7 linked regions of the Nothobranchius furzeri genome follow. The protein of the gene in region 7 purifies or fractionates together with the protein of the main gene of each other region. This does not show direct contact. Links are inferred from orthologs where the notes say so. Each region holds a gene or a part of one and is shown on either strand. Other genes may lie near its edges. The genes, in order: prpf31, dhx38, prpf4, ppp1caa, snrnp200, eapp and cd2bp2.

The links.
Region 1: the proteins of cd2bp2 (region 7) and prpf31 fractionate together in Homo sapiens (co-fractionation; 3 studies listed by BioGRID, with this or other methods). This does not show direct contact. The link is inferred for Nothobranchius furzeri from reciprocal best matches to the Homo sapiens genes CD2BP2 and PRPF31.
Region 2: the proteins of cd2bp2 (region 7) and dhx38 purify together in Homo sapiens (affinity purification with mass spectrometry; 3 studies listed by BioGRID and IntAct, counting the BioPlex papers as one, with this or other methods). This does not show direct contact. The link is inferred for Nothobranchius furzeri from reciprocal best matches to the Homo sapiens genes CD2BP2 and DHX38.
Region 3: the proteins of cd2bp2 (region 7) and prpf4 purify together in Homo sapiens (affinity purification with mass spectrometry; 3 studies listed by BioGRID and IntAct, with this or other methods). This does not show direct contact. The link is inferred for Nothobranchius furzeri from reciprocal best matches to the Homo sapiens genes CD2BP2 and PRPF4.
Region 4: the proteins of cd2bp2 (region 7) and ppp1caa purify together in Homo sapiens (affinity purification with mass spectrometry; 3 studies listed by BioGRID and IntAct, with this or other methods). This does not show direct contact. The link is inferred for Nothobranchius furzeri from reciprocal best matches to the Homo sapiens genes CD2BP2 and PPP1CA.
Region 5: the proteins of cd2bp2 (region 7) and snrnp200 purify together in Homo sapiens (affinity purification with mass spectrometry; 8 studies listed by BioGRID and IntAct, counting the BioPlex papers as one, with this or other methods). This does not show direct contact. The link is inferred for Nothobranchius furzeri from reciprocal best matches to the Homo sapiens genes CD2BP2 and SNRNP200.
Region 6: the proteins of cd2bp2 (region 7) and eapp purify together in Homo sapiens (affinity purification with mass spectrometry; 3 studies listed by BioGRID and IntAct, counting the BioPlex papers as one, with this or other methods). This does not show direct contact. The link is inferred for Nothobranchius furzeri from reciprocal best matches to the Homo sapiens genes CD2BP2 and EAPP.

The regions. Positions count from the first base shown.
Region 1 is NC_091745.1:76,608,082-76,612,348, forward strand, and holds the start of prpf31 (U4/U6 small nuclear ribonucleoprotein Prp31), read right to left. Parts: upstream 2,801-4,267; 5' UTR 2,661-2,800; intron 1,657-2,660; coding exon 1,441-1,656; intron 1,365-1,440; coding exon 1,304-1,364; intron 1,199-1,303; coding exon 1,115-1,198; intron 1,018-1,114; coding exon 920-1,017; intron 551-919; coding exon 444-550; intron 1-443. UniProt on the Homo sapiens protein: Involved in pre-mRNA splicing as component of the spliceosome. Required for the assembly of the U4/U5/U6 tri-snRNP complex, one of the building blocks of the spliceosome.
Region 2 is NC_091749.1:58,498,376-58,501,875, reverse strand, and holds part of dhx38 (pre-mRNA-splicing factor ATP-dependent RNA helicase PRP16), read right to left. Parts: intron 1,919-3,500; coding exon 1,756-1,918; intron 1,467-1,755; coding exon 1,348-1,466; intron 1,233-1,347; coding exon 1,159-1,232; intron 1,077-1,158; coding exon 921-1,076; intron 846-920; coding exon 684-845; intron 545-683; coding exon 437-544; intron 277-436; coding exon 155-276; intron 1-154. UniProt on the Homo sapiens protein: Probable ATP-binding RNA helicase. Involved in pre-mRNA splicing as component of the spliceosome.
Region 3 is NC_091746.1:69,563,499-69,567,533, forward strand, and holds the start of prpf4 (U4/U6 small nuclear ribonucleoprotein Prp4), read right to left. Parts: upstream 2,801-4,035; 5' UTR 2,663-2,800; intron 1-2,662. UniProt on the Homo sapiens protein: Plays a role in pre-mRNA splicing as component of the U4/U6-U5 tri-snRNP complex that is involved in spliceosome assembly, and as component of the precatalytic spliceosome (spliceosome B complex).
Region 4 is NC_091745.1:8,625,255-8,628,211, reverse strand, and holds part of ppp1caa (protein phosphatase 1, catalytic subunit, alpha isozyme a), read left to right. Parts: intron 1-2,655; coding exon 2,656-2,787; intron 2,788-2,957. UniProt on the Homo sapiens protein: Protein phosphatase that associates with over 200 regulatory proteins to form highly specific holoenzymes which dephosphorylate hundreds of biological targets.
Region 5 is NC_091757.1:37,093,742-37,097,669, forward strand, and holds the start of snrnp200 (U5 small nuclear ribonucleoprotein 200 kDa helicase), read left to right. Parts: upstream 1-1,128; 5' UTR 1,129-1,358; coding exon 1,359-1,403; intron 1,404-1,557; coding exon 1,558-1,721; intron 1,722-2,128; coding exon 2,129-2,300; intron 2,301-2,381; coding exon 2,382-2,574; intron 2,575-2,679; coding exon 2,680-2,735; intron 2,736-2,827; coding exon 2,828-2,926; intron 2,927-3,012; coding exon 3,013-3,165; intron 3,166-3,244; coding exon 3,245-3,344; intron 3,345-3,435; coding exon 3,436-3,572; intron 3,573-3,649; coding exon 3,650-3,727; intron 3,728-3,805; coding exon 3,806-3,928. UniProt on the Homo sapiens protein: Catalyzes the ATP-dependent unwinding of U4/U6 RNA duplices, an essential step in the assembly of a catalytically active spliceosome. Plays a role in pre-mRNA splicing as a core component of precatalytic, catalytic and postcatalytic spliceosomal complexes.
Region 6 is NC_091758.1:7,754,136-7,758,194, reverse strand, and holds the start of eapp (E2F-associated phosphoprotein), read left to right. Parts: upstream 1-1,259; 5' UTR 1,260-1,367; coding exon 1,368-1,447; intron 1,448-2,996; coding exon 2,997-3,175; intron 3,176-3,353; coding exon 3,354-3,467; intron 3,468-3,534; coding exon 3,535-3,643; intron 3,644-3,720; coding exon 3,721-3,849; intron 3,850-4,059. UniProt on the Homo sapiens protein: May play an important role in the fine-tuning of both major E2F1 activities, the regulation of the cell-cycle and the induction of apoptosis. Promotes S-phase entry, and inhibits p14(ARP) expression.
Region 7 is NC_091745.1:8,817,564-8,820,310, forward strand, and holds the end of cd2bp2 (CD2 antigen cytoplasmic tail-binding protein 2), read right to left. Parts: intron 2,731-2,747; coding exon 2,573-2,730; intron 2,494-2,572; coding exon 1,938-2,493; intron 1,863-1,937; coding exon 1,777-1,862; intron 784-1,776; coding exon 673-783; 3' UTR 501-672; downstream 1-500. UniProt on the Homo sapiens protein: Involved in pre-mRNA splicing as component of the U5 snRNP complex that is involved in spliceosome assembly.

The sequences.
Region 1 (4,267 bases), about 68 Mb from region 7:
AATGGCTATTTTGTTGTTAATTTGCAGGAAATATCTAGAAGAAAGTTCTACAGAAAGTAGCTAAGGGTCCTCAGAAATGTAGCTAGCTTTGTCACTAGGCGTTAGGAACAGCGACAAAGTGGCACTGCCTCTCTCTCTGCTGCTAAAGCTACGGATAGCAAATGCTACGGGCGATGCCTGAGCGTGAACGCGCATGAAGCAGCCTGCTCGACCCGAGCATCTCTCTTTTTCTGTGATTTTACAGAAAAACAGGCAATCACAGTAAAAATGCCAGGGCTCATTCTACAGGACCAGGGCATTGCAGGAGAATGTATGAAGAAGACATTTATTATTTCTATACATGTTTTGGCTGTCAAACTTCCATAATGCCCCTTTAACATCTGAATTATTCAAAAACTTCATGCTGTTCACTCGCCAAACAGGATTCTGACAGGAAAACTCACCCCTGTGTGGTCGATGCGGTGACACTGACAACCATAATAGTTGCATTGGTCAGGATTTGCTGCAGGGTCTCATTGTTTTTACATTTATCCAGATTGTTTCCCAGTTCCTACAAAAAACACACAAATATTACTGAATGTTTTGCTAAATCTGCACACACACACACACACACACACACACACACACACACACACACACACACACACACACACACACACACACACACACACACACACACACACACACACACACACACACACACACACACACACACACACACACAAACACAAACAAAAAAAAACTAATCCGGTTTTACGTTTAAAAAGTTTGGAGATAAAATTAAAAATGTAAATAAACAGCAGAGAATTGTGTGATTTCACAAATCCTTCAGAAAATATTTATTACATTTAACCAATGACACAAATATTCAAAAAGGTGACATTTTAATGTGAAATTCAGAATCAAGACGTCAGCTCACCTTGACTGTGCGAATGTAATCTAAAGCATCTGGCACCAAAGACTCGAGCTCAGGAAACCTCTTGGAGTATTTGTCTCTTGTAAACTTGTGAATGATGTCTAAAAGTACAAAAGGAATAGAAAAATTAGATGTGTGGAATTACTCCTCACGCTTTTCTGTCACGGTTCCTCGCAGCGGAACAGCCAGCTGACTCACTGAGCTCGTTGTCGATCTCCACAGTAAGGTTGTTGGCCGCTACGATCAGCCTGTATTCTGGATCAGCCTCAACAGGACCAGAGACTAAAAACAAACACAGCAATCACTTCAGATTTGTCAGCACCGAGCTGATTTAAATGCTGTGAGGGACGCCTGAGCATTGATGAAACTCAAAGGAATCAAACTGACCGTCTGAATTTTTGCGTTGCTTTCCCACATATTCTGAAATTTTGTCCATGATGTCTGAAAACTAAAAACACACACAGTTAAGTGGGATTCTAATGTTTTATTGTACATCTCACTACACAGAAAACTCAGATGATAACCTGCTTGCTGTTGCGAAGCTTGGCGATGGACGCAACGCTTTCAGCTTTACTGTAGTCCACCTCCATCTCCTCTGGAATGTCTTCCAGCCCTGCCTGTGTCCTTCCCTGGATCCCCTCTCCATCACTGTCTCCCTCCTCCTCATCTGGATACAATCCTTCTTCTCCTTCATCTGCAGCCTCCTCCAGGTCAGCCAGGAGCTCGTCTGCTAGAGACATCTGCAAAAGAGCAGCGAATAAAAATAACAATATGAAGATGATAAATACATGAAAACAAACCAAAGTGTGTGTCTGTGTACACCCCCTTCTCATCTTAGACAGTATATTCATAACAGCACTTTTCTTCTACATTTTCACACACACACACACACACACACACACACACACACACACACACACACACACACACACACACACACACACACACACACACACACACACACACACACACACACAGAGAAAAAGAAAGAATGGTAATAAAAGCCTCATCTTAATGATGAACATCTATTTTTATTGTAGCTCTGATCTTCAGATTTTTGAACATGTTTTTCCACTAACTCCATACTTCTGTTTCTTTAATTTAAAACTTCATTAATCTTTGGAAAAATTTAATAGAAGGCGTATTTATGCCAGTAGTTACCTCTACTAAATAATCTAATTTTAATATGTAATTTGATATTTCGTTGGATTAAATCACATTATTTTAGTGAAACCAAGTAAACACTGGCACATACATGTACACAGATAGAGATAACCTGCTTTTCTAAAACACCAAATACTGTCTCATTCACTATTTCAAAAGGCTGAAAACACAAATGTACAGCAAATCACTATGTTTTACATTATTACTCATTTTAACTGATTTCTAAACATTTATACACGACCAAAATTATCTCGTGCAACCGGTAAACCTGAAACTGCTATTAAACTAAAATTATAGTTTGCTAAAGATACATTTTAAACCTCATACACAGTATTTCATTGAAATACTATTGGTAGTATACAACTTTTTGTCTCGTTTTCAGTGGCTGCATGGCATTTCATTACTTCAAGCTCTTCAAATAACATGTAAAATTGCAACACATAACATAAATATAATAATTAACACATTTTAAGATGTTTTTCTCAGCCGCGTTAACACACCAGCTGCGCTGTTAGCTAGCTAGCGGCATCAAACGTCTCCTAAACGTTTCCTGAAGCTTTATTAAAATGTTAGAACTCACCTCTGAGATTCAAATTGAGATTATTTACTCGGGGAAAAAAAACTTCAGAAGACAACTAATCTGTTTAAACACGCTGTTGCTATTTTATTTGTCCGTTTAAAGCTAATGTTGTGCTCTGCTCTTGTCGCAGATTAAATACGTAATGAGCTTCCTAAGGCCTTCTGGGAAATGAAGTCACTGGCCCATAAACTGAGAAATAGATGAAAACTAATTGCTTTATTTGCGAATACTTCGTTTTAAGATGACAAACAGTGAGATTTATATCCATGAAAACATTTTAGGTAAAATATCAACTTTTTTCTGTTTTTATTTCTTATTTCTTCTTATTTATACATCGTCCCCTTTGAAAATCATTTTAAAACAACACAAGTTTAACATTGAAACAGACTAAACAGACTTGCCGGACCTCTGCAGCATGACCAACTGTTATTAGTTAAAAAAAGAAGAATAAATTAATCAACAAATACACAAACAAATTGACTTATTTACTCATGAAAAGCTCTGATTTGTGGTGCTAAGCTACAATAATCATTATCAAACAAACAAGTAAAAAAGTGGTAAAGCTCCTGAAAATGTTGACCAAGACCGAGAGAGAGAGAGAGAGAGAGAGAGAGAGAGAGAGAGAGAGAGAGAGAGAGAGAGAGAGAGAGAGAGAGAGAGAGAGAGAGAGAGAGAGAGAGATTTCCACACAGTAAAGATCGTCATAATATATTAACAAGTAAAATTATTCGAAATACATTTTCTTCCAGCAATTAAAATGTTTGGGAAAATATTGTATTTGTTATGAAGATCTTAAGAGAATGTACAACTTGGATGCACTTTATCCCAAACTAAATAAATTTCATAAATGTTAACTACTCTAAAGCAAATAAATGAACTTATAAATAAATAAATAAATAGGTAAATTAATTAACTAATTTGCACAACTTGGTTTACAGCAAATAATTCTATCAGTATGATAAATATAAAAATAAAACAAATTTTAAAAATGCTTTTCTAAGATACAAATCCAAAGTAAAATACCTTTTTTTGCAGTCCAAGATTGCTTCTTAAAGCAAAAGCTCTAAAACAATATTGTGTCCACCTATGTTGTGATACTTGCACAAATGCTGAGGAGTATTTTCAGATACAGGAGTCAGGAAATGTCTGCTTGAAACTGCTGCCTACAAGCACGACGGACTGACTGCAAAGAAAAACGTCGTTGAGGATAAACTGGGGAAGAGTCCAAGCGTATACACAGACGGATGAACGACTAAAGAAAGTGCATCTCCCTCCCACACACCCTAAGAAAACGATTCAACAGAATGAAGGAGAAAAGAGAAGGTACGCTGGTACACAGCAAGACTCCCACTGCATAGCTGACAAAGTTGTTTCAGATTTTACAAAGCTCCAAAGTTGCTCTTTTTCCAACATAAGCTCATATTTCCAAAGACTCTGTAAACAGTGGCAGGCAGGAGCTCAGATAACTTTTCATACAAGATCCTGTCACTGGCGAAGTCCGGGAATGTGTCCAGAGTCAGCGTCTCAACGTTCTGGTCGCCTGTTCAGTAAAAAAATATCTTCTGGGTGAATGGCTGGTTGTTGGGTAAATTCACTGCCCTCTGGAG
Region 2 (3,500 bases), on a different chromosome or scaffold from region 7:
CACAGTCACAATTCTTGTCATGTGTCTATGTATGTATGTCTGATCTCAGAATTGTGTGTTCTGAAACAATTGAATTTCCATCTGGGATTAATAAAGTATTTTTGAATTTGAATTGAACTGAATTACAAAAACTAAATGTGCAGTTTTCCATTACTTGTAGTCCACTTTGCCATCTTCCCCAACCACTTTGGCCCCAGGCTCTTCATCTTCTTTCTTCTTTATACCCATAATATCACCCAACTTGGTGCCTGCCAGTTCCCAGTGTTTGTGCTGCGCCTGAAGGCAGAAACAAAATGTTTGAATCATTTACCGATTTTAAAGGTTTCATCAAGAACAATTAGTGCAAATGTACAAGGAGAAATTTGTGGTGGTAAAAGAAGCAAAGGGTCACTGAGACTGAAAACACGTAGGGATTTAGGAGGCGGTCTCGTCTCACCTTCTTCCGTTCTTTCTGCTCTCGATGTTTCCGGACAAGCTGGCTGCCCTTTCGAGAGATGATGGCCATGTCCGAGGTGGCGTCTTTCACAGGGATGATGGGCTCTGGCTGCAGGATAATAATACACAGATGAGAGAAAAAAAAAAGTTAAAAGAAACTCTGACATTAGTATATCAGATGTGTTGGTTTGATTTAAATCCAAACTTAGTTGAATTAAATAAACTGAAGACTAAAATGTGGTTTTCACCTGTTTAGTGAAGACTATTCTTCCATCCAGGAAGGGAGGGACCAGATTGTGAACTAGCAGGTGAACCTTAGCAGCATTGTCTTCCTCAAAGTCTTCATCCACCTCCAACCTTTGCACCACGCCACTGGTCAACATCCGATTGGTCTCCCATCGCTCATTATCCTAAGAGGAAACGCAAAGCTTGTTAAAAGGTTACAGGAAGCTTGTGCAAAAAGAAACGGATAACACCGTTTGTACCTCGTTGATCTGTCGCTTCTGTGCAGAAATTCTTTTCTGAGTCTGTTTCTGGAGGATTTGCTCTCTCTTCTTCACGTACTCCTCAGAAGTTGTAGTGAAGGGGTTGTGAAACTCATCATAGCCTTCATCCATCATGTACCAATCTCTGTCAGCTTGCTGCATGAAGGAAACAAGTAAAGATCTCAACAGGAGATAGTTTACGATGAAAAACAAATGAAATGATAACGGTAACACTCACCTTCTGGTCATCCTCCCACTGTTCTTTCTCATCTTCATTGTCAAACATAATTCCTCCCTCACGTTCGCTTCTACCTAAAGGAAACACCAAGAACAAAAGGTTAAATGCTTCATTTAAATCCAACATGAGTAAAAAATATTATTTTAGATTAAATTATGACCAAGCAGTAGAAAATATAAACAAGTTTACCTTTTCCTTGGGATAAGCGAGGCGTGGAACCCAAATGTTTTCTGTCATTGGCCCACTCGTTGTACTTGTAAGATGGTGTAGGTAGGGGTGTGTCGTCAAGGTAACGGCCTTTAACTGATCTAAAATCCCAGCAGGTAAATACGACATTTTAATCACGTTTAAAAGTTTTAGTCAAATGTAAAAACACCAAAACACATTTTTATTGTTTAAAAAAAAAAGAGAGAGAGATTCAAGCATCAATGACTATTTTGTAAAAAAAAAAAAAAAAGATAATTTGCATTCTAGAGCTCATAAAAAGAAATGTTCTCAAAGAACAAAACTATAAATTACAACATTAAACACAAACAGGAATAGAACGCTTTAGGGTCATCGAGGTTAAAGGCACAGTTTAAATAACATAACAGTTACCTGTCTCTCCTCTCACTTTCTCTGCCTGAGCGATGGCTTCTCTCTGAGCGGTCTGCCTCCTTGTGAGATGGGGTCGGAGATGGGGACTCCCACTGAGAACGCCTTGAGCTGGCGTAACCGCTGTCATCTTCATCCCAGTTAGAACGGGAAGGGGTGGAGGAATCTATGCAGAAAGAAAAGAAACAAACAAGAACACAGTGTTACGATGGGCGGCCCTCGGGCCGGCTAAGAGCAAATGTTCGCCCCTGTTTCGGGATGGGGCTGCTGGTTTGGAGTCCTCTGACTGCTCCTCCCACATCAGCTGGAGTGCACAGGTGCTTCACATCCCGCTGATGAGGACGCTGAGAGAAAAGGAGCACAGAGACGCGCAGAAAAAAAATGACACGGAAGTTGGAGACGAGAGAGGTTGACGAACTCCGACCCGTTAAAAGCCAAGAGAGGGCAGATGAAGCGGCCTGAGAAACTTTCAAAGAGCGGCTGACTGCTGGAGAGGGATAGGCCGGCGAGCGGGTGGGGAGCTGACGGAGATCGTGAAAAACTTGAACATGATGGAGCCTGAGGAGCCCAACTGAGAACGAGAGGGCAGCCGAGCCGAACTATGAGACTTGATCCGAATGACCTGATCCTGATCTTTAACCGGAACCTAGCGTTTGGGGATGCGGTCCTAAGCCAGTACATGGAACGTTGTGGACGAATGAGTATACCCGGTTCATCTTAAAGCCGTTTCTGTTTTCACTGAGCTCTTCCTTCTAACTTGTCATTTCCTAAAGTCCTGAAGGAAGTTTGGTGTTATTAAGCTCACAGCATTCCTGTTTTGCTTAAAGCCAAGTCGGCCCACCCTCCTGTTGACTCTTGAACTTGAGGAACAGCCTCACGGCCCGGAAAAGGACTGGATGCTAGAAGAGAATTGTCTTTCCAACGTGATTGGTGGTTTTAAAGTGTGCGCCTTAACAATAGAGGTGTGAATCTTCACTTGTCTCCCGATTCGATTCGATTACGATTATTGGGTCAACGATTCAATTCGATTCGATATCCCGATGCATCACGATTATTTCATATTGATTTGTTTTCATCGATAAATAGAAGATGTCAGATAACTGCTTTTTATTTATTTTTATCAAAAACGTAATTGACACAACTTGCCATCCCTCAAAATCTCTCCATTCACAACAGGTTAGGACAAAACATTTTAAACATTTAAGAAGATTTAACAAAGTAAAACATCTGTTTCCTGGTTCAACACCACGCCTCAGGCTGAGAAAAACACGCTTTGCAAAAACTCACAAAATCTAAAAAAGTACTGAAAACCTACAGGACACATAATGTAATAATAAAATCCATAATGTGTTCATACATGAGTGTTTAATGTCTCTGAGCAGCTCTAGAGTCAAATATTTATGCCACAGTTCAAGGAAGTCAGAAATAACACCAAATGAAATGTTTGACTTAGTTTATTTTATTTGAACCCAGTGGTTCGTTTCTGAAATGTTGGAGAATGAATCAAGTTCTGTTTGATGCAGAAAATAATAAAACACAAAACAAATTCTACACTTCCAATATTTAAGATGTGTTTTATTCTTTCTGATAACACCAGCAGAAGGCTGTGGGCTGGATTAGGATTAAATTACCCAGCTGATGGATCTCCTTCACTAACCAGCTAACTACAAACCTTTCCACTAACCTGTCCTGTGGGACCCTCACCATGTAACCTTCATGTCCATGCTGTCTCTGGAGGAGCAGATAGG
Region 3 (4,035 bases), on a different chromosome or scaffold from region 7:
GGCTCTCATAACACCTGAGCAGTGCCACAGACTGATCGAGTCCATGCCACGCCGCATTACTGCAGTTATTGAGGCAAAAGGAGCCCCGACTAAGTATTGAGTGCTATACATGCACATTCTTTTCATGTTCATTCTTTTCAGTTGGCCAACATTAGAGAAACAAACATTTTTTCATTGGCCTTTAGAATATTCTAATTTTCTGAGATACCAGATTTGATGTTTTCATTGGTTGTCACCTATAAATATCAAAATTAAACGTAATAAACATCGGAAATACATTGGTCTGTGTGCATTGCATGAATATAATGTACAAGTTTCACGTTTTGAATGGAATTACTGAAATATTTTCAACCTTTTGATGATATTCTAATTTACTGGCCAGCACCTGTATAAGAATTATTAACATCATCAACATAAACATCAGTCCAATCAGAGCAAAACAGTTCATATTTCAGAGCTTCAATTGCAACAGAAGTTTTTTTTCTAGTTGTGGTATAATTTACATTTTCCAGAGATGTTTCATCACTTCTCATCATTTCCACCACAGTAAACACCAGTAAATGATCAGTAATATCAGTTAAAAAAGGCCATTCTTTGTCTTGACGTCAGATTGATTTATGAATATATTATCAATCGGTGTAATACTACGGCTGTTATCCTGCTTGGTCTCAGTATCAACGGAAGGAAACCTAAACTAAACATTAAATTGATAAATTCAGCTATTTTAGTATTATCATCTGATTTAAACATATCAGTATTATAATCACCACAAATTAAAGCAATTTTGTTCCTACATTGCCCAAATAATGTTTCAATACGTTCATTAAACTGATCTATAGAAGAACCAGGACTACGATACATACAACTTATAATGATGTTTCTGGATTTTTTACACTTAATTTCAATTGTCAGACACTCCATCAAATTCTCAACAATGAAGGTCATATTTGTTAGTTTCGTACAATCAAAACCAGTCCTAACAAAAAGTGCTACCCCACCCCCTCTTTGTTTTGTCTGCTCTGAGTAAACATTTCATAGCCATCCAGTTTATTCAATAACTCTTTTCCATCTTTGATCCAGGTATCTGAAATTGCAACTACTGTAAGTTTCTCCTTGAACTCATTTAGGTAATCTGAGATCTTAGATAAATTGTTGTAGAGACTTCTGCTGTTAAAGTGTATTAATGAAAATCCACACATACTCACTTTGAAGTCCTCTACAATATAATATTCACAGTCCAGGTGGGTGTTGCTGCAACCATTAATTTCTGAGTCAACTCCATTATCTATCAGATTTGATATTTTTTTTAGATTTTATGATCTACATCACTGACAAACCTAAAAAAAAATCTATTATTTCCTGATTTCTTGTAGTCTGCTGTGTCCATGAATTAAATACCATCTTCTTCTCATCATTTGAGTTTTTCCAGTTCAGAGAGGCTCTTGATGCTCACCACCATAGCCTGTTCTGGTGGTCCAGTAAGCTTGATCATTACTTTACAGTTCCTTATCCAGGTATCCTGTATTTTCCTCTCCTTCTTCAGAATTCTTGCTTGCCAGGCAATCTCTGCATTCTTCTTTGTCAGGTGCTCATTTACATACACTCCTGTGCCCTTAAGCTTCTTTACGACCTTTAACAAGTCAACTTTATGTTTCCTGCTCACAAACTGAATTATTGTTTTGTTTTTTTTTTCCAGTTTTTTTAGGAATTGTGTAGCATGCAGCTATAGTGGTGCTGTCAATAGAAATGCCCTTACTTCCAAAGAACTGAATAACTTGTTTCTCCAGTGACAAACTATTAATGGTAAATGGCCTGTATTTGATATAGCGCCTTCTGAGTCCTGCAACCCCCCAAGGCGCTTTACAACACAATCAGTCATTCACCCATTCACACACACATTCACACACTGGTGGGGATGAGCTACGATGTAGCCACAGCTGCCCTGGGGCGCACTGACGGAGGCGAGGCTGCTGAGCACAGGCGCCACCGGTCCCTCCGACCACCACCAGCAGGCAACGTGGGTTAAGTGTCTTGCCCAAGGACACAACGACAGCGACAGACTGAGCGGGGCTCGAACCTGCAACCTTCCGATTACGGGGCGAGATCTTAACTCCTGTGCCACCATCGCCCACGCAATGGTGGGTTAGGGTTAGTTCATTATTTATTAACTAACATTAACACTAATTGATAAATTTTTATTATGTTGTTTGAACCCAAGGGTCTCATTATCAGATTTTTTTAACTTGTTGGATTGATCTAAAAGTGCCCCCTTTTTTTTTTTTTTTTTTTACTTTGAGCCCCGCCCCGTCAAAGGTCTCTGCACGGCCCTGGTTTCAGTAGAACGAGCTCTACGAAAACCTGACTGCCTGGAAGCTATCATAGATGTTATGAGTGAGTTAGTAGTGAACTGGTGCTGCAACCCACACCAGTAGTGAACTGGTGCTGCAACCCACACCAGTAGTGAACTGGTGCTGTAACCGTAGCTGTGCAGAACACACACGGACCGCACGACGAAACCATAGAAGCGTTCTGATGTTCGCACGTGACTCGGAGCTAACGGCTCACGGACACGCGTGTCTAGCCGAGCACGCGCACCTGCTGTTTGGACCATAAGCGTGTTTCTCTGTTTTAAAGCTTCGTTTGTTTTGTTGTTCAAACTTACCGTAAAAACAGACGAAGCCGCAACGTCTCCTAGCACTGCAACCCGGATATGAAACTGTTGGCTTCCGGGTCAAAGCTTCTTTTTCCGGTTGGTGGATCCGTGGACTTATGGGTAATTAACCAATCTACCTGTTAGCCAGATAACCAAACAGCTGACGATCAGGACGAAGGAGAGTCTCGGTGCGTCAGGTAAAGTCACCTGGGTTCGTCACACAAACGGGTTCGGGTGGACGGAAGTAAAGTTGACATGATGTTCACAGATTCGACTTTTCCGCCTCAACAACTTCGGATGTTCTGGAACATAACGCTGTGTGGAGTCAACCCGCAACACCTGCGTTATTTAAAACCTCTGCTTGCGACGCTTTTACGTTGATGGGGTGACGGTGGCACAGGAGCCCAGAGCCCCCCCTTAACCGGAAGGTTGCAGGTTCGAAACTCATAGAGTTGCGTGTTTTCCCCATCCATGCGGGGCTTCCTTGCGGGGTTAGACGCGGTTTTCCCCCCCTACAGGCTAACTCTTGTAGGTCTGCCACATAAATCAACTTGCCCTGCTCTCCTAACATTTTTTGATAAATGTGTCTTTAATTAGGTGAATTTTTAATCTCCTCCACAGTAGGACCCTAAACCTAGTGGCGCCAAATCGTCACAGCTGATCGATACTCTTGTGCCCGGCTTGGTAAACCTTTTAGGTTAAGAAAAACTGGTTTTCTGATGTTGGGTGAATTTTTCTAACTTGAATTATCAGTAGGTCCTACACAATGCACGGTGGTGCCACCTGCTGGTGAAGGTGGAGGTTTGTCAGCAGTGGCAGAACCAACATTAGGACGAATTACTGGATGCTTTCTTTGCAGTGAGATGATAAAGCATCTGGAGGGCTTGTTAGTGACCTGAGCAGTGAGAAGCGTGATCAGTGAAACATGTAAATGAATGATAAACGACCCACGCTTGTGTAGCACCTTTCAGAGCCTGAGGACTCCAAAGCGCCTTACACTACAGTGCATCATTCATCCATTCACACGCTGGTGGAGATGAGCTACGATGTAGCTACAGCTGCCCTGGGGCACACTGACGGCCAAGGCTGTCAAGCACTGGTGCCACCGGTCCCTCCGACCACCACCAGCAGGTAAAGGTCTTGCCCAAGGACACCACGGCAGCATTCTCTGTCTGAAGCTGGGATCGAAATTGCCACCTTCGGGTTAGTGGACAACCCGCTCTACTCCTGAGCTGCTGCTGTCCATCATGTAGTTCTGAGCTGCTGATAAAATTCAGGGCTGACTACAAAATCTTGCTCATCACATATAAGGCCACTCACAACCTTGCCCCTCGTACCTCTCCCATCTCATAAAGGTTTCTACACACTCCCCAGTTGCCATC
Region 4 (2,957 bases), about 190 kb from region 7:
ACTATGTACATCCCTACTTCTGATAGAAAATAAATGGTGAAACTCTAGGATTTGAAATTCCTGACAGATCTATGTCACACTGTCACTTAACATTCGTGGGCTCACCCATCATGACTTGCTGCGGGGAAGGCTGCTATTAGCGCCCAGGAAACTGCAAATAGCGTCTTTGCTAGTAGAACCGTTAGCATTAGAAACTTCACAACACAGCAGAACTCCTTCAGGCTTGTTATCTGTGGAGATGAAACATCAGTGTTGTAAGTCAGTGGTTGAGTCGCATTGCTGTTATCCAATCAAAGGAGAGATGTCCAAATATCAGGAAATAAGACTCCAAAAACTGCCGTCTGAAGCTCAGCTGTGATGTGGCTCACTTCTATTTCCTGAAATGGTGCTCTGGAGTTTTTGGCCAGTCTCGGTTTGGTTATGAAGCCCCTAGAAACACCTCAATCAGAACTCTCCCTGCATGATTGATATATATATATATATATATATATATATATATATATATATATATATATATATAGTTTGAGATTTTTTTGTCTATGGTCTAATTCTCAATGTGAGCTGGGTGCAGATATAAGCTTAAAGATCACACACTCTTCTTTATGTGACAGCATGCAAACACTTTATCTGGTTAATGTTTGGGGTCGATACTTTTCCCAGAAGCCTGTAGATGTATGTAATCTTAGCCTTCAGTTTGTTTACCTTCTTGTAAATAAAGCCACATGACTAGCCTTAGCTGAGCTGTTGGATGTGATTGGGATTATACTCAAATATGCATGTGCAGTGAAATATCCTCCTGGGACTTTGACATTGACTGAGGGACATGCTGGAGTATGCCGTACATGGATTGTTGCACTTGGACTGTGATAATAATGTCTGCCAAACACAGGAGATGACAAACAAGCCCGATAGTGGCAGTATTTATATCCTGTTATGCAACTCACACCCCTTTTTGTACATATGGTTATATTGCCTGGTAAATCAGTTGTATCTGCTGCGGTCGAGGTTGCGTGACATTGAAGAAAAGCTCCCTGCTGCATGTGCTACATTGAAACTTAGATTTAGTTTTTTCTCCTGTGCGTGAAACGAGGTTACCTCCCTGCTGCTGTGTTTTGAGACCAAACCAATTAACAGTGTTTGGATAATTAGGAGCTACAATTGGATTACTTGTGCAGATCTGAAGCTAGGCTAACTTGGGATTGTTGCTGATAGCATGTTAGCAGCGTGCAACATCACAGAATTCAAAGCATTGAGACGCAATTGCTGAACCGAATGAACTGCTGATTTCACCCCCACAGATTTGCAGCAGTACGGGTCCAGCTCTCTGGCTTTGAGCCCCTTGTTCAGTGTAGTGGAAAGTCTTTTGTGTACTCCCCTCATGACGGGGGCCATGAGGCTAACTTTGGAGTAAACTCCGCCAGGGCTTAACCTTCTGTAATCCAGGTTTTAGGCAACAAGCAGCCACACCGTATTTATAGCTGCTTTCTCGGCCTTTTGTGGTCCCTCCATTATCATGCTCTTTCTCCACTTTCATTTGGCAATTCCTACTTTTAATAGCACTACTCACACAGCAACAAGAGACAATTTAATCTGTGTTTAAATCATTCCTAGGCAAAGTTAACATACTGGAATGGTTTGTTGGCTAAGCTGAACCAAGTTTGTTTTTTCTGTCATCGGCCCGCTCATGTTATTGATTCTGTTAGTTATGCGAACTAAAGTGATTCACAGCTGCTGCAGCAGCTTGCATAAGGGTGCAGTGCACAAATGTGTTCTCAGCTGCAGCTCCTGGATCTGGACTTCTTTAAGAGCATATTTTTAGAACGTGGTCATTTTTATAATTGCAGACTGCCCGTGAGATTAGGGGACATCCTGGTGCCTATTGTGTCTGATGTCATCAGCGTGTGTGTGTGTGTGTGTGTGTGTGTGTGTGTGTGTGTGTGTGTGTGTGTGTGTGTGTGTGTGTGTGTGTGTGTGTGTGTGTGTGTGTGTGTGTGTGTGTGTGTGTGTGTGTGTGTGTGTGTGTGTGTGTGTGTGTGTGTGTGTGTGTGTGTGTGTGTGTGTGTGAACACACATGCAAACATTTGAAAAAACCTGCAGAATTCTAGAGGAAGCATTAATATGTTTACAAAAAGAAAACACTCATTTTTTCCTAAATGTTATTTATTAGTAACATTTTTACTTCAGTCATTTATTTAGTTACATTTCTGATATTTTATGTGTCGAAAGCGTTTATCTATCAGGAAATTGACTTGTGTGTTTTCAGCATTTCTGCTGCAGCATCAACATGAAGAGGAAGTGGTTTTACGCCTTTTAGCTTCGGTTTTAACATCAACTTCAAAACGAGCAAAACAAAGCCGCTTCTGAGGCTGAGCACGCCGTTACATGCTGCTCATCGTGCCCCCTAAGCTCTTACTTACTTGTTAGGAGTTTAATTCTTTCATTTCTAGAACAATATTACCTCTAAATGTTGTGAGTACCTGCTGAAATGACTGTTGGACTGAGCCGCTAACAGAACTTGACAGCATTTGGCTGGTGGGAGGTGTTAACCGTCCAGTCTGGTGGTCTGGTTCAAAATCCAAGCTTTGCTGTGTGTCACTTGTGATGTTTCTTCCATAAAATAAGTGACATCTCTCTTTTTCCTATTTCCTCCTCCAGTCAAAGGCTCTCGGCCAGGAAAGAATGTTCAGCTAACGGAGAACGAGATCCGCGGCCTCTGCCTGAAGTCCCGTGAGATCTTCCTGAGCCAGCCCATCCTGCTGGAACTGGAAGCTCCTTTAAAAATATGTGGTGAGTTTTTGTAAAAATTAGGGGCTGGAATGTAAAATTATAGTTTTTCTGTTTATTTTGAGTTTATTCCTCCTAATAGTTATTGCTCATAAACCAGGAGCTAATTAGACTTTTTCTCCTCACATAAAGGAAATCTTACACAACATGTTCCTCCATTGGCTGAAGTCTTA
Region 5 (3,928 bases), on a different chromosome or scaffold from region 7:
TAAAATTATGAATTCAGTCGAGCTCTTCCGTCACTCCCTCTCCTGCTCTCCTGGAAACCCGACATCGGCTGTTAGAAGCGGAGGTGAAGAAGGAGATGAGGCAAACAGAGTGAGTGCGACATAAAGAAACCAGACTGGTGTGGAGGTGAGCAAAACAGCTGGAAAAGTGTGGGCGTTGAATCCCCCACGGGTGCGATGTCCATGCGAGCGACCTGTACCTGCTGCTGTCACCTGGTTGTGAGCAGCCCTCTGCTGTCTGAGGGTAGGCCCCGCCCACAACGCTGCGGCTACTGCGGTGTTTTCTTTACTGTGGGAAACGGGTAATAATGGCTCTTTGATGGGAACAGGTTGCTGACCCCTGAGCTGGTAAAACAAAAATCCTCATCAGCAGGCTTTTTTGAAAGTGGGGGGGACACAGCTGCCAATCACAAATTTTGCCGGGGACATGTCCCCGGCGTCCCCGGTTAAACTGACGCCTATGTTTATTTTACGTAAAACTTCACACGGTCCCAGTTCAATTCAGTAACTTTATTTATTAATTCCCAATTCACAACAAAGTAAACATTCCAATTGAACCTAATAATTAGTGCAATTAATTTAGTTTACCACTGAGACTTGTTAAAAGTTTCCTATCAAAGGAAACCCAGCAGTAATTGTGACTTTGACACAATCATTTCCCCACGGAGGGACAATAAGGACATTTTCTATTCTATTCTAAAATATTTTGATTTTGTCATCATATAGTTCTTGGTTTCATTAAAATTCATCTGAAAGACCAATCAGTGGTACATCAATGACACATCTTTTATTCAGAGGAAGACTTCTTTTTGTCCCCCTTTCTCTATTTTTTGTTTGTTGACTTTGTACAGTTTAGAGCCTGTACTTTTTACTTTTTACTAAATAAAGACGGTCACTAAATACTTTTACTTTTACCAGAGCATTTTTATACAAAAATGTGTACTTGTACTTCATTAGAGAACGTCAGAACTTTTGCCATCTGGGTTTCGTGAGATTTAGCCATCGACATGTAAAAATATCGAATAACATCCAAATTGAATGATTTACACCAAGCCTCTAGAGGGCGCTGTTTACCTTTTGTGTCTGTTTCATTCCCTTTGACACCGGAAGAGGAAATTTCTGCCCACTTGTTGTGCGCTCGTGCTAGCCGTGCTTTTGTTACGTATGAAAAACGCTACTTTCTGTTTGTGAGTAAAAGTGGTTTAATGTTTGAAATTAGAACACGCTACTAATGTTCACAGCGTTTTAACAAAAGTACAGAGTGACGTCAGCTCTGTGAACTTCACTAGTGCGCGTGCTGGTTCACAGAGAGCGGTGAACCCCGGAGGAAAAGTGGCACCATGGCGGATGTTACTGCTCGTAACCTGCAGTATGAGTACAAAGCGGTAAGTATGTTGGGTGTAAATATAATAACTCGGGGTTATTAAACGTTTCTGTGACTAGTGATTTCTAATTATGATGTTTAGTGGATCGTGTTGCCGGAGCCGAAGCAGCTCAGCCCGCTGAACTGATGGGTCTCATTTAATTGTGTGTTTGTAGAACTCAAACTTGGTGCTGCAAGTCGATCGTTCTCTGATCGACCGCACTCGGAGAGATGAATCCACCGGGGAGGTGGTGTCCCTGGTGGGGAAAATGGAGGGGACGAAGATGGGTGACAAGGCTCAGAGGACCAAACCCCAGAAGCTCGAAGAGAGACGAGACAAGTCAGTGCAGCTAACACTGATGTTTTTAAAACCATTTACCTGTTAGAATCGAGGTACAGGTGGTGTTTTCGTGTGTATGATTCTTATACAATTTAAAACATTCTATAATTTACTTGAACGTTGAATAGATCACATTTAACATGAAATATACCTCAATTAGGACAGTAATAGAATTATTCAGATTTAAATGAAATGAAAAGAACCGTCTTTGACCTTCATCCTCCTTTAATTGTCATTAACAAACGTGTGAAGCATGTAATTGCACCATATACTTAAAAGGTGTAGTTTTGCTGTTTGAAGTGGGGTTTGATGTGGAACAGCTGCATATGTTTAATCTGTAGGAGACAGCAGATTGATTGCAGTTTAGAGGAAAAAAATCTGAACTATCCCGTTTTATCTCACAACAGGAGACGTAAAAGAGATGAGGACAGACATGATATCAACAAAATGAAAGGCTTTACCCTCCTGTCTGAGGGCATCGATGAGATGGTGGGCATTGTGTACAAGCCTAAAACCAAAGAAACCAGAGAGACGTACGAAGTGTTGCTGAGCTTCATTCATGCTGCGTTAGGAGACCAGGTTAGTGAACGTCACAACACTTAAGACTTTTGCACTGTTGATGGCGAACGCACAGCTGATGTGAACTCCAATTGTCTGCAGCCGCGTGATATTCTGTGTGGAGCAGCTGATGAGGTGTTAGCGGTGCTCAAGAACGACAAAATGAGGGACAAAGAAAGGCGTCGTGAAGTGGAACAGCTTCTTGGACCTTCTGATGACACGCGCTATCATGTGCTGGTCAATCTGGGAAAGAAGATCACAGACTATGGTGAAGACAAGGACCTGCAGAATATGGGTAAGCTACTTTAAAATATCTTAATAAAGTGTTTCGTTTATTTGGTGACCATGTTCTCTTTAAGCTGTTATCAAATCATCTAAATCTTTTGTTATTTATCTGCAGATGACAACATTGATGAGACGTACGGTGTCAATGTCCAGTTTGAGTCTGATGAAGAAGTACGTTTTAATTATTAATGTCTTAGTTGTATTTAAACTGATTAAAATGAAAAAGTGATTTTTTTTCCCCCCGTCTTGTTACTTATATAAAGGAAGGAGATGAAGACCAGTTTGGTGAAGTACGAGATGAGCACTCGGATGAAGACAGTGAAGGAGAGGAGGCTGTTGTGTCCACTAGGCTTACAACCAATGTAAGTACAGCCTTTTTGTTGGTTCAGGTGGTATTTCCACAGTTTTCTTCTCTCTGATTTAAAAATTGAATTCTGTTTTGTTGTAGCTTAGCGAAACGGGTGGCGTGATGACGGTGAAGAAAAAAGACCTGCACCCTCGAGACATTGACGCCTTTTGGCTCCAGCGTCAGCTCAGCCGCTTCTATGATGATGCTATTGTCTCGCAGAAGAAAGCCGACGAAGTCTTAGAAATCCTCAAGGTGGGATTTTCACTGTTTTTATTAGTCACGCAGCATAACGTAGCATCTTTTGACACCTGATGCCTTTCTTGTTCTACAGACCGCCAGCGACGACAGGGAATGTGAGAACCAGCTGGTGCTGCTTTTAGGCTTCAACACTTTTGATTTCATTAAAATCCTCCGTCAGCACCGTCGCATGAGTAAGTTGCGCTCGTTGAATTGCGCTGGGCTATGATGTTCTGTTGCACAACTTATTTGAAGTTGCTGGTTTTTATCTTGTCTGACTCACAGTTCAGTATTGTACCATGCTGGCGAGCGCTCAGAGCGAAGCAGAGAAGGAACGCATCATAGGAAAGATGGAGTCTGACCAAGAGCTGTCCAAGATCCTGTACCAGCTGCAAGAGACGGAGAAAGAGGACATTATTAGAGTAAGACATCTTGGTTTTGAACTGTTTGTCACCACTTTGCAAGAAATGATTTTCCATATTTTGTTTTTGTTATTCAGGAAGAGCGATCTCGCAGGGAGAGGGTGAGGAAGTCTCGTGTTGATGACTTGGAGTCAATGGACATTGGTCATGGAGAGGTAACTAGTGTGACATGGTCCAGGTAGCCGGGTAAAAGTGTGTGTGTGTTGAGAACATTTGTGTTTCTCATCCTACAGTCGGTAGTCCCTCGGCAGGTTCTGGACCTCGAAGACTTGACGTTCACTCAGGGTAGCCACTTCATGGCCAACAAACGTTGTCAGTTGCCCGATGGCTCTTTTCGTAAGCAGCGCAAAGGTTAT
Region 6 (4,059 bases), on a different chromosome or scaffold from region 7:
ATGCCGTGAAATGTTAACATTGTTTTTGCTGGTGTGCTGCTGCATTAGGCTGTTGTTAACTAATATATACATGCACTCTCTACTTTTGGATTTTTCTTTTTAAAGACTTTTGAGACTTCTTCTTTTGTTTCATATATACATACATACATACATACATACATATATATATATATATATATATATATATATATATATATATGTATATATATATGTATATATATATATATATATATATATATATATATGTATATATATATATATATATATATATATATATATATATATATATATATGTATATATATATAAATATATATAAATATATATATATATATATATATACATATATATATATATATATATATATATATATATATATATGTATATATATGTATGTATGTATGTATGTATGTATGTACATTTATATATTTATATATATATATATATAAATATATATATATGTATATATATATATATATACATACATTTATATATTTATATATATATATATGTATATGTATAAATATGTACATACACACATATATACATATATATGTATGTATATATGTATTTATATATGTATATATATATATATATATAAACGAAAAACACTTTAAATCTTTTAATGTTTTTATGATCTTGGACACAGATACATTTATTACATATGTTTTCGGAAGGTTGCAGGTTCGAGTCCCGCTCAGTCTGTCGCTGTCATTGTGTTCTTGGGCAAGACACTTAACCCACGTTGCCTGCTGGTGGTGGTGGGAGGGACTGGTGGCGCCAGTGCTCGGCAGCCTCGCCTCTGTCAGTGCGCCTCAGGGCAGCTGTGGCTACATCGTAGCTCTTCCCCACCAGTGTGTGAATGTGTGTGTGAATGACTGATTGTGTTGTAAAGCGCCTTGAGGGGTTCCATGACTCTAGAAGGCGCTATATCAAATACAGGCCATTTACCATTGATAACATCACAAATATATTTCAACACAGATGTAATTTTTCATAAATATTCTATAATTTTACATGTGTATTATCACAAATATATTTCACAGCTTAGTGGTTCTTCATCACAATTATAATTAAATTTAAAGTGGTAATTGTGAAAAATTATTTACGTAATAATTAGTGTTATTATGCAGATTTCGCATACATTTCTATTTTTGTATTCGCACTGAGCAGGAATCGAACCCACGCAGTTCGACTCCCGGACAAAACAGTTTAAAAAAAAACTGCCTCAACCCTCCAGTCCACTAGAGGGCGCTAGGGTAGTTTGGAGTTGGTTTTCCACCAAGTGGAAAGGTGACATAGAACTAGTCGTTTTCTGTCACTACGTAGAAGTAATTATGTTCCCATAGTTAAACTTTCAGCCGTCAGAATGAACATGCTGAATAAATCACAGGACTTTGACTCATATGAAGTCGAAGAGCCAAGTGACGAGGAGCGGGCAGCGAGCAGGTAGGGATCAAATAAACTACGGTTTCTAACATTAGCATCGTGGCTAGCATCTCCGGTGTTCTACATGAACTAGACATCAGCTCAAATGGTGTGTGGTGGATGCATCGGACATAGGTGGCTCATCAAAGCCTGATCAAAACTATGCGAATGTAAACAAACTGTTCATAAACGTAATTGATGTTGGTATAAACGCGAGTAAAGCATGTTGCCTTCTATCTTATGTGACATCTGTTTGTGAGCAATCGTTCTAAAATAAAAAAGAGGGTCAAAATGATCACAACTGAAACAGCGTTGAGGCGCGTTAAGGTGAGGTTGGTGTTTTAAATTAACTGGTGATTCGTCCCTTTACTGGTTCAAACAGCCTGTTTATTATGATCCATGGAAATGAACATGGATTTAAGCTGCTTGGTTTGAACCCACACGGGCTTTTAGAAACTCGTTTTCTTGGGTTAATTTACGACAAAACTAGAACGAGAGTTTTGTACATCTTGTTAAAAAAATAATAGAGCAGACTTGTACACTGTGGTCCAGATGAAACTCAACACAACTTTTATACAGTATTATTAAAACACTGTCGACGAGAAGAGATGCTAGTACATACTCAGTCCGCTAACAGATTCACTCTCTCAGAAGAACTCAAGACCTTATCCCACTGAATCCAAGACCCCAAGGCCACAATGCCCCGAGCATTATCTGGTTGTTCTGCTCTGGTGTTTCTGTTTTATGTGACCTGGACTCATAGAGTTACTTGGCTGAAATATTTTCCCGTTGCATGTGATGTCATACTACTCACTGGAACACCTCTTTCTTCGTGGTGGAAGTGAAGGGAACAGTTTGTCCAAAAGAAGCTAGTTTGTAGCCTTATATTGTGCTTAGTTTGTTGGTATTGCTGTAAGGTGGTTATCGCTACTAACAGACGAGCTTATAAACTCAACTTGTTTTTATTTTAAATAACTTTGATGGGAACGGAAGATGGAGACGGACAGCAGCTGTCAATCACTTGTGTAGTAATAGTTAAAATAAGGGATGCAGCACCAGTGCTGCTCATTTGTTTTGTCGGGTAGATTTTCAGTCATCTCTAGGGATGTAAGACAATATCGATATGGCAATATATTGTGATATTTTTTCCAGCAATATTACATCGATATTCAAAAGCCGTGTATCTAATTCTTGAAAGAATTTACATGCAAACATTTGTGTATTTTCTTTTCGTTTTGTGCAATTTAATCGCCGCCCGCTAGTTTGCAGCAGTGTGCAACAGGTTTTGTTTCCACCATTGAAATGTAAATCCCTCCATCATGGTTCAGATACCTCATGTTAAACATGTTACGTATCAGTTTGGACTGTTAAACATTCTTACAATAAATTCAGTAAAAAAAATTGCTTGTAACGTCTGACTGAATGTATCGCAATATATCTTGATATATCGTATCGTCTCCCCTGTATCGTGATATGTATCGTATCGCCAGAATTTCAAAAGTACACATCCCTGGTCATCTCAGACCAAACATTTGAGGTTTTTTATTTTCTTCTTGTGGTTGTGTTTCAGTTCAGAGGATGAGCTGGATGTGCTTCTGAACGGGACAGCAGAGCAGAAGAAGAAGCTGATCAGAGAGTATCTGACGGGGGAGAGCGAGTCGTCCAGTGAGGATGACTTTGAAAAGGAAATGGAGACGGAGCTCAGCTCCACCATCAGGAACATGGAGGGAACCTGGGCACCAGCAGCTAGTAGGACACCAACAAATGTTATTATAACTAGTTTAGTTGGACCAAGGAAATTGTGTCCTGTTTTGGACGTGGCAACTAATGATTGTGTGTGATTAAATAATCATTGTGGCCCTCCGCGACTGCTATGAAATCATTCCTGAGAGTTTAAGTGGTGGTGATGAAGTTTCTCTTTGTTCAGACAGCGGTGGTGAAGGAGCAGGTGCCGGTGGCGTAGGAGGTTCCAGTGTTCCCAATCCACCGATGTATGACGAAGTTTACTTTGATTCTGACTCAGAGGACGAGGACACACCAAGTACGACGTCACTTTACACGACTTCATCTTCACTTTGATTTTGGTTAATTTCACCTGTTTGTTACAGGCAGCTCTACCAGCTGGAAGCGGAGACAGCGTGTAGTTCCTACCAATGATGAGCTGTTGTATGACCCAGACGAGGATGACAGGGACCAGGCTTGGGTAGACGCCAGACGGTAGTTCTGTAAAACACTGCCACTAGTACTTTTTTTGTCTTCTTGTAGGCCGTTTACCCATTTCTGTTCCTGTTCAGGTATAACAGCAGAAAACAACCAAATGCAGCCTCCCGGTCCAAATCCGGCCAACCTCGGTGTTTACCCAACAGTGATGCTGTTCTCAACTGTCCCGCCTGCATGACGACGCTCTGCCTGGACTGTCAGAGGTCAGGCACAACTATCCTGCTGTGTGTTCTTGTTGATTGTGTCAGCTAGCATGAACCAAAAACAAAGTTGTATGGCAATATCACAACGGGTTGCACTAATGTTCCCTAGGGTGCACGACACATCACAGATGGGTCCATATCATTTACAGTGTCACGCATGTATCAGAGCACAAAGGGAACAATGGAGTTTCATCATTTTAGCTGCGTGTT
Region 7 (2,747 bases):
GTCGCTGGTTGAGGCCAGCCAATAGGAGCATCGGAAAAATTCACGAATTCTTGTATATCTAGCGTCATAAGCGAGTTTTTTTAATAACTTGACACACATTCAGGAAACGGTTTAACACATTTAAAACGCAATGTTGATAAAGCGGACACTATTCCTTTCATATCGCCTCTCTGATAACTTAAAAAAGCATAAAGCTCAAGCTTAAAACCATCTAAGGACGAATTTAAATTCACATTACGAAATTAATGTGCATATTTACTGGGGAATGGTTTATTTTGGTTATTAGGCATTTTCCAACTCTGCCTAAATACTGTAATAAAATTATTCCGACAGAAAATAACTTACATTGCCCTGATTTCCCTGTGCTCATGTTTTCTAACTTTAAATGTAAACACGTTATTAAGGGCAACAATAAAATGTAAAACTGCAGTGTATATGAATAATCAGCATTTACAAGCTGTGTCCTTGCTTCAGAAAAAGAAAGAATAGAATTTCAGCAATGATGCACACAAGCCTTTTATTTAAAAACTATCTGCAGAAAACAAAGGCAGGGCTAAAATGAATGGACCAATTCTCCTCCAAACCCTGGTGTATAAACAGAGAAAATCCAAGTAAAACATGAGTGGTGACAAAATTCAAGAGGGCTGTTTTTCATCTGATGGTGTACATAATTCATGTGAAGAGGTCAAAGTCTATTCTTCTGGAGTTGTAGAACTGAGATCCGTCCTGATCCACCCTCCTGCAGTAGACGCCGCTGCTAAAATAGCCTTCATCCACCCAGCCCTGAAAACACAGCAGTAAGAAAATAAAAGCCCACTAGGTCAGACTGGGGTTAATGAGACAACCAGTCAACAATTCAATTATTTAGATTAAATGATGGAATTATTGGTATTTTGAGGAGGGAAATAAATAAAATACATGTTTAAAACATTGCATTTAAATGTATGAGGTGTTATACTTATGTTTTCTTTTAAAATATAAATGTACAAGAAAAAATAAAAAATTAAAATCAGACTACTCACTGCCTAACCCCTAATTTCCACTGAATGCATAAGCGTCGCGTAACGTAATAGAAGCATTTGACCTCCAATCTCAGTCGCTTGTCCCTTCCTACTGGGAGCGTTTCAGAAATGAAACAGCGGCAAAAACATCACCAACAGCTGAACCCACGAGATCACGAAATCACCAGAGAACTGGAAGTTCACGCAGTAACAATGAAGAGGAAAGACGGCAGCATTTGTCTGAAAAAGACCTGTGGTTTGTTTTGTGTTGGGTTTACCTCGGCTACAGAGGCATCACAACTATTTTAAACAAGCAACTGGAAATCGGCACGTGTCTTTTATTATTTTTAAAGTGTCCAGATGTTTCCCAGTGCTCCTGTGTTTGTCCTGATCTGAATGGCTGAGACTGACATGTCATGAAAGCACAGCACGAAAGCACAGTGCTAACAAAAATAAGAATGGAAGCATAAATTTAACGGAGCAACGCGTCACTACGCTTCTGGGATGCCTCAAAAACGTTGGCGCTAAGCAGTCGGTGGAAACGCACCCACTGTGACGGCGGCTATTTGCTGTGTACTACACTTCGCGGACGTTGCAGGGTGCTTTGCAGACGTTATGTGATGCTAATGTGTCAGGTGGAAAAGCCCGGTAAGTGTTCTGAATTCCTCACAGACACACAAGAATCTACATTCGTAATAAAAAGGAAAACCCTCTTAATCCACATCAGTTTGGAAGTTGGGCATTTAACACGTCAGAGCTAAAATAGTAGTAATACCTGCATCTGCTGGCTGGTGAATGGCCCATAGACCTCAGATTTTTCCTCATTTTCCCATTTGTATTCCCACATCACTTCATCACTCACTGAGAAGAAAAAGGGGAATCGAGGTAAGTAACCTTCTTCTGAACTTAATCATTTATAAGCATGAAGGAAAGAACCTTGGTTGTCATCCTCTTCTTTCTCACCAATCTTCTCATCAAACTTATCACCAAACATGTCAAGCTCATCTTCTTCCTCATCGTCACTTTTCGTCTGCCTCACTGCTGGCTTCTTGCTGGTCATGCTTTTCATCACGTAGGCCAGTTTTTCATAGCTCTGCTGATAGATTTCAAACATCCCAGATCCAACCAGCCTGTCAGCTAAAGCTGTGAGCCTATCCAGCTTTTCCGTGTCTCTTGAAGCTTCCTCTGTGGACTGGTTTTCTTCTCTCAGCTTTCCCTTCTTGCGCCCTCCAAGGCCTCCTAACCGACGGAGCGCCGCGGCGACCGTTTCTCCAGGCTGCAGCAGTTCAACAACAGCTTCAACAAGCTGCTGTTGAGTGTAGGCAGCCAACGGGTCCTCTGCAGGCATCTCCTCCTCCTCTTCATCCTCCTGGTTTGCCTGCTGTTCTTCCCTTCGTTTCTCTTCCTCTGCCTCATCTTCATCACCGACTCTGCGTTTCCGTTTGGCTGCAAGACCTTTCTTTTTCTTAATAGGCTGCTCTTTTATTTTCACCTGCAAGAAAACAGATACTTCACTTACTGCAAAATGCAGAGCTTCCATTAAATAATCATTTGTCTGAGAATGCAATTACCCAGTCTATGTTGTCGAGCCAGTTGTCTCTAATTTGTGTTTCCTTTTTGATGAAATAGTTTCCCTCTGAATCAAAGTGGCCTTCCTGCATCTCCTCTTCCAGGTTGAAAGGTGTAATAGAAACTCCTTCGTCAAAGTCAATAGTCGCTCCTTCTTGGCCTGGAAACAAAGGTGGC